Linked DNA regions of Danio rerio. The protein of the gene in region 2 interacts with the protein of the main gene of each other region in a biochemical or structural test. Links are inferred from orthologs where the notes say so. Each region holds a gene or a part of one and is shown on either strand. Other genes may lie near its edges.

Evidence for each region.
Region 1: the proteins of tyro3 (region 2) and gas6 form a complex in vitro, tested with the Homo sapiens proteins (2 studies listed by BioGRID). The link is inferred for Danio rerio from reciprocal best matches to the Homo sapiens genes TYRO3 and GAS6.

What each region holds. Positions count from the first base shown.
Region 1 is NC_133176.1:590,287-594,116, reverse strand, and holds part of gas6 (growth arrest-specific protein 6), read left to right. Parts: intron 1-73; coding exon 74-238; intron 239-724; coding exon 725-893; intron 894-1,756; coding exon 1,757-1,899; intron 1,900-3,263; coding exon 3,264-3,471; intron 3,472-3,830. UniProt on the Homo sapiens protein: Ligand for tyrosine-protein kinase receptors AXL, TYRO3 and MER whose signaling is implicated in cell growth and survival, cell adhesion and cell migration.
Region 2 is NC_133192.1:11,697,126-11,700,955, reverse strand, and holds part of tyro3 (tyrosine-protein kinase receptor TYRO3 precursor), read right to left. Parts: intron 949-3,830; coding exon 765-948; intron 1-764. UniProt on the Homo sapiens protein: Receptor tyrosine kinase that transduces signals from the extracellular matrix into the cytoplasm by binding to several ligands including TULP1 or GAS6. Regulates many physiological processes including cell survival, migration and differentiation.

The DNA.
Region 1 (3,830 bases), on a different chromosome or scaffold from region 2:
TTTATTGTGAAGTGTTTCCCATTTATTTGATATTATTAGAAGCATGTTCTGAGAGATGTTCTGATTGGTGCAGATCTCGGTGGAGGAGCAGGGGCGGAGCCTGGTCATTAAGATTGACAGGGAGGCGGTGATGAAGATCGCAGTAAACGGAGACCTGTTCACTCTGAATAAAAACATGCACGAGCTGAACCTGACGGTGGGGGGAGTTCCCTTCAGAGACGATGGGCTGGTCAGCAGAGTGAGTTTAACACACACACACACACACACACACACAATGAACAAATCACAAATTCATTCATTCTCCTTTGGCTTAGTCCCTTATTCATCAGGGCTCGCCACAGCAGAATGAACCACCAACTATTCCAGCACATATTTCACACAGCGGATGCCATTTCAGCTGCAACCCAGCACTGGAAAACACCCATACACTCTCATTCACACATACACACACACTTATAGGCCAATGTAGTTCATCAATAGTGCATGTGTTTGGACTGTGGGGGAAACCGGAGCACCCGGAGGAAACCCACACCAACACGGGGAGAGCATGCAAACTCCACACAGAAACACCAACCGAGGCTTGAACCAGCCACCTTTTTACTGTGAGGTCACAGTGCTAACCACTGAGCCACTGTGATGCCCCATTTCTGATGTCATGTGTGCTTTGATTGAGCTGAGTTACTGTAGTGGGTCTGTGTGATTATTATCTGTGTGTGTGTTCCAGGTTAACCCACGGCTGGACGGCTGTATGAAGGACTGGCGCTGGTTAACCGGTGAGGACACGTCCATTCAGGAAACCATCCGGCACAATGAACGCATGCAGTGTTACGCCGTCGAGGACCACAGCGCCTTCTACCCCGGACACGGGTTTGCATACTTCAACCACAGCCATGGTGAGTGCTGGAGGTGCACACTGCAAATAATGCTCTCTTACTCAGAGTCTTGGATCTGTTTCTAATCCAAATATCTCCAAATTCTGAAATCAAGAAGCATTTTCTAGACAAGCAAAACAAAAAGTCTTGTTTTCAGAAATATTGAGTTAAGATGAAGTGAGTTTTTCCTTCAAACAAGCTAAATAATCTGCCAATGAGGGAAGAGAAATAACCTCGTTTTTCCTTTGCCATTGTAATGAGTCGGGATGACGGAGGTGAAGATCCACGTGCAGCTTTATATTTATATCTAGTTTGTATAAAGTGTTTTATTTTAGAATTGATTTTAAATGTATTTTTCTGTTTGATGTTAGGGGTGTGCAAGTGCATTCTGAAATATAATTTAATTTAATATTCATTCATATGCATGTGTTATTAACTGTTTTTGTAGCACATTTCATTCATTCATTCATTCATTTTCTTTTTGGCTTAGTTCCTTTATTAAGACTTACGGAATGAACCGCCAACTATTCCAGCATATGTTTTACGCAGCAGATGCCCTTCCATCTGCAACCCAGTACTGGGAAACACCCATACACTTGCACACACTCACATACACTACGGCCAATTTAATTAATCAGTTCCCCTATAGCGCATGAGTTTGGACTGTGGGGGAAACCAGAGCACCCGGAGGAAACCCACACCAACACGGGGAGAACATGCAAACTCCACACAGAAACACCAACTGACCCAGCCGAGACTCGAAGCAGAGACCTTCTTGCTGTGAGGCGATTGTGCTACCCACTGTGCCACCGTGCTGCCTGTAGCAGATCTGTCTATCAATAACTTGTTTATCATTTTAATGATGTATTTTATTGTCCTCACAGGAGACAATCAGACGCTCAGTGTTCATGTGACTCTGCGTGCCGCATCCTCCATGGGGGTTCTGTTCGCTCTGGTTCGTCAGGACAGAGTCCCGTTCTCCATCTCTCTCTCCGACTATCATCCAGGGACCCTCCAGTGGACCAAGGTGTGTGTGTGCATGAGTGTGTATGTGATTGCGTGTGTGTGTGTGTGTTAGTGATGGGAGCTTTGAAACGATTTAATTAGTTGCTTCGCAAAGTGATTCAGTTTTGAGCATTCGAAATAGCAAATGCATGGCGACATCTGCTGGTCAAAACCATGTAAATGCAACAAAAACACACATTACATCAATTAGAATTGACTTTTTCAAATTTTATTTATTTATTTATTTTATTTAAATATTGTACATATTAAAGGCGACCTATTATGCAAAAATCCCTTTAAACCCCAGTGAAGTGTCTGCAGCAGTGTGAATATCTCCAGCAGCCTCCAATGGTCAACAGTAATGAAGTGTATTTGTTCTAATCAGATGAAAACAGTCTGCAGAAACACTGTGATTGACATTCTCCCTTTGTACGTGTCATCAAAGGGGATAAGCCCCGCCCACTAGTGTCCATCTCTCCATCTCATTAGCATGTCCAGCAGCCCTGAGTGAGAAGCAGTCGTCTGTCCATTCGCCATTAGAGTGTTTGAGCTGCTGAAGATGATGTCAGCATAGACTAAGAGGAGATTTGTAGCTCCGTCCTCTCAGAGCACAATCTCATTTGCATTTAAAGCAACAGTCACCAAAACGCCACAATTAGGATCAAAGCCTGAAGGGGTCATTTTCAGAGAGCTGGAGAACATTATCTGTGTGCTCAAACTTCACTAACTTCAACATCACAATCTACATACTCTAGAGACGTCAGAGATGCATTTTACATCTTGTAAAAGGGGCAGAATATGTCGTCTTTAAATTCAAAGTAACCTATAGATGCACTTAACTTATCATCTAATACCATCATTAAATATTAACACACATTAAATGTGTTCTTTATCAATTTTCAAGGCTTATATATGGTTTGTTTTATGGTGGGCTATTCTAAACAAGACAAGAGACTAATAAATGATGTTCCTTTTCATAATACATTAAAACATCTACAAACTCATAAATGGAAATGAGGTCAGGGAAAAACTATTAAACATGCTAAACTATCAGCCTTAAAGACTATTAAAGATGCCACAGGGGTGCGATCTGAGTGAAGCCGCATGATTATTGTGGATTTTATAGGATTACACTGATCGCCCCCTAGTGGAGAATCATCACATTTTCTGAATATTTCAAAACACTTCTGATATAACAAAGCCATTTTTACTGAAGTTATGTCCACTTGATGTGTGCTCTGGAACCACTGATTTGAACAAAAGAAATGTTAAAGGTTTGGAAGTTTGATGAAGCTGCCTTCACTAGTGTGTATCTGTGTGTTTGAGATGCTGCAGTGAGGTGTGTTCTGCTGGTCTGAAACTCTTCTGTTGATCTGTAACCCTCAGCATGTACTGGTGTCGTTGGGTGATGTGGTTGTGGGCAGTGTCCCAGTAAACCTCAGCGATGGACAAACACACACTGTGAATGTGACAATGTCCGGCAATGACTCCGTGCTGGAGGTGGATGCTCAGCTCGCTCAGATGGAGATGATGGAGGGTGTTGACTCTCTGGATCTCACATCCTCATACAGCACCTTCATAGGGGGCATCCCAGGTAATGTCTCACATTGGTCTGGTATGGTCTCACATCCACCTCGCAATAGTGTCATAACAATCCCACATATTATTATGTTTCTGAAAGTTTGACATTTGTCTCAAATAAGTCTCAAATTAGTCTCATATGGTCTCAAATCAGCCTCGCAATGGTGTCATAACAATCCCACATATTATTATGTTTCCGAAAGTTTGACATTTGTCTCAAATAAGTCTCAAATTAGTCTCATATGGTCTCAAATCAGCCTCGCAATGGTGTCATAACAATCCCACATATTATTACATTCCCAAGAGTCTTTTGCCTCAAATAAGTCCTGTGTTAGTCTCTTTAGTCTCCTATAAGTCTCACATCCATCTCAC
Region 2 (3,830 bases):
TTTTTGGCAGTTTTTGTTTTCGTCAATCCACCAGAGGCCGCTGTGTATGCTTTTACAGATCTCAAATTTCTCTCACCAGTGCCATTTGCGGCTGCTGTTCTCACGTAAATCCACCAGAGGCCGCTGTGGACTGACTCACTGACTTAATGAATGACTGACTGACTGACAGATCGACTTACCCTCCTCCTTCCCTAAACCCAACCAATAGTGTTTTCAAAAGCACCAATTGACTTGCCCACCCACTTCTCAAAACCCAACTGACAGTGTTTTAAAAAGCAAAGCAATCCAAAAAAAAGAAAAGCCCTCGCTTTATTTTTATCACGTTTTCAGATTTTACCACATTTTCACCCTGTTGTTTATTTGTTATTTTATTTTTTAGCTTTTGATTTTGTCCTAACCGCTAAGACCATTTTTCACCGGACTCGAACCCTATTGTAGTGGTTAACTCATATCAGCATCTAAAGTCCACCAACGTACAGAGCTAGCTAACTGGACAAACCAGTAGCAGTGGGAAAGCCATCCATATGGAGGTAAATTCACGCTAAAGTTAAGTCAAGTCATCTTTAATTCTATATCACTTTTACAATGTAAATTGTGTCAAAGCAGCTATACATGAATGTAGAAAAAAGGATTAAAAAGTCATTACAATTATTTGGATAGTTTTACCCTGTCAGATAGGAAGCAGAGTGGTGGTAGAATGCTGTTGTAGTTCAATAAAAAAAACTGATTCACCAACATCCTGAACAACATTTAAAGCATCCTACCTGTGAAAGGTTTCCCAGTGATATGGATCCAGTGTGATGTACATCTGATCAGTGCTGAAGAGCTTCTCTCCATCCTTCATCCAGATAATCTCTGGTTCACTCAAACCCTCAAAGGCACAGCCCAGCCGGACCATGTTACCCTGAGTCACCGTTTGGTTGGAAGGGTTTTTGGTGAAGCGTACCCCTGGAAGATAAAAAAATTGACATCCTTCTAATGCAAGAGAACACAAATATTATAAAAGACAAATCAACTTTACATAATGAGATCAATTTACATGGGCAATGACATGGCAGCAACTAGATATGCATTCAAGTATGTAGACGTCAACAAGACAATCTGCTGAAGTTCAAAACAAGCATCAGGACGTGGAAAAATTTAAGACTTAAAGGCATAGTTCACCCAAAAATGAAAATGTGCTCACTATTTACCCTCCCTCAAGTGGTTCCAAAACTTTGACATCCATAGTAGGAAAAACAAATACTATGAAAGTCAATTGTTACAACTTTCAGCTTTCTTCAAAGTGTCTTCTTTTGTGTTCAACAGAAGAAGGAAAGAAAAAAAATGGATCAAGTGAAGGGAGAGTAAATGATCAAAACTTTTCATTTTGGTTGAACTGTCCATTTTAATGACTACGAAAGTGGCATGGATGTTGGTGCAAGGTGATCTTGTATGAGTACTTCTGAAACTGCTGATCTACTGGGGTTTTCACCCATAACCACCTCTAGCTTTACAAAGAAAAGTCTTGATGTCACAGATCAGAGACGAAAGGCCAGGGGCCTTGTGTACAAAGACTTGCGTTGAATTAATACTAAAACATTGCGTACGGACAAAGCTGTAAATGTGCATACGCAGTAAAAAAGTCAGATGTATGAACTTAAACACTGTGCGTGAAATCCGACGCATATTCTGTTTGTACATCCGAATTAACGTGAAACTGAGTGCAAGTGCATGAGCGCAAGACCCCTCCCTGCCTCCTCCCCCCTACAAATATGGTAATGACTCTACTTTGGCAAAACCAAACAAAAAAAGCAATGGCGAAAGCAAGCATGAAGAGAAACTTCACAGAATGTGAATTGAAGGTGCTCCTATCGGAGGTAGACCAGAGAAAAACGTTGTTATTTGCAAGTTTGTCCTCCGGAATTAATAACAGAGTGGGAGAGTTTAGCTGACGCGGTTAACGCAGTGGGGTCTGAACATCGTCCTGTGAACGAATTAAAAAAGAAATGGTCCAATGTAAAGGTGCAGGTTAAGAGGAGAACAGCAGCGCACCGTCAAAGTGTGGACCGAACTGGCAGGGGAACAGGGGATGCTGAACTAACACCCTTTGAGAAAAGAGTTGCCTCAATTGTGGGTGACACTTTACTGTCTGGAATAGTATCCGTGTCTGTGGGAGACACAGATGTATTAGAGGAACACTTTGTTAGGACGGTACAGCAGCACCCTACTGCTCTTATCCAGGCAGAGCCACCGGCATTTCAGCTGCCCAATCGCCCGCTCTACAACTGACTATAACTGACTATACAACTGTGTGAGTAGGGGCATTATTGTTTCTGCACTCTTGGTCAGTTTGTGGGTTGTTAAGTGGGGTTAACAGCCATGTCTTTAAAAAATAACTGCAGTCTCCTGATATGCAATTTAATAATTACGCTCAATAAAATAAAATATAATAAACTTAGCTGGAATAATATCTTTAAATACATCACTCACCAAGAAGCCACCCATCACGCACCCTGCCACCTTAGTGCCTCATCCCAACCATGCTGTTTGTAAGGATAAATGAATCATGGGTTGACCCAGGCCACCTTGCCACAATATTTGTTAAGCGCATCGGAGCATCACATATTATTTGCACATTTATTGAATGGAATTGTTTCCGATTCACGTATGCAAATTCGTCTTCAGATGGCACCTTTATGGCAATGTGCATGTAGTCGATCGCTCCGATTACATTGGGAAAACCGGCGATCGCTGCAAATTGCACTTTAATATTTGACTGGTCAACTGCATAGTATGGAAACCTCATATACCTGCTAGACATGATGATCCTGTTCCAAACAGCTGGCATTGCACGGCTCAAAGACGACTGGCTTAACTCTGAGTAGTCTGCCAGTTCCCTTTAAAAAGAACCAGTTGCCAGGATACTTTGTTGGTGCGGTACTTTGTAGTGTGCACTTTAACATAATTGCCTCTAGGAGTTGCCAATGAAAAAAAAAAACAAACAAACACAAGAAACACACGTACGCCAGACATGAAGTTGGCGCAGAATAACGCACACTCACGTTAATTTTATCGTTAGTAAATTCAAATGTGAGCGTAAAATCTGGCGTTCGCAAAGTTTTAATATATGAGGCCCCAGATGATTTGAAGAAACATCAGTAACTGTAACTCAGTTACAAACAGGTTCTGTAGAGAGCATTTCTGAACACAAAATGCATCAATACTTTAAGCTATCTATCTATCTATCTATCTATCTATCTATCTATCTATCTATCTATCTATCTATCTATCTATCTATCTATCTATCTATCTATCTATCTATCATCCATTAAGACCATGCATCAAATGTTTTATGAAATATTCACACACTACACAGGCTCACTCAGAAAATGTGCCCAGGACTACTTTTCTGTGAACAGAAAAATATGTGCCATGGGGTGCATAATGGTTGCATTCTGTGTGTAAAACACACACTATGAGGCTTTTCTGACATGATTGGTTTGCTCAGTAGCTCACTGTGTACGGTGCCAGATGAGGGAGGCAGAGCGGAGTGGCCCATGATTCTAGACTGATGATGGTTCCAGAAACCAGGTAAGACAAAACCCAAAAAAGAGCAGTGAGATACCATTGTAAAAGCATGCAGACATGGATTCATGTCAAGTGAGGTGCACCTGTGTGCCTGGGGACTCCAGTTTCAATGCTAATGGCTAAAATAGATTTATTTGAGAGAGTAACTGTGCTTTATGTGCTTTAGGAATGTTGAAAAACAGCGTAGATTCATTCAGCTCTCTGTCTGGTTCCATCAGATCCTTCCGAGTTGCACCCAGCTCTGTGAGTTTATCAACTCC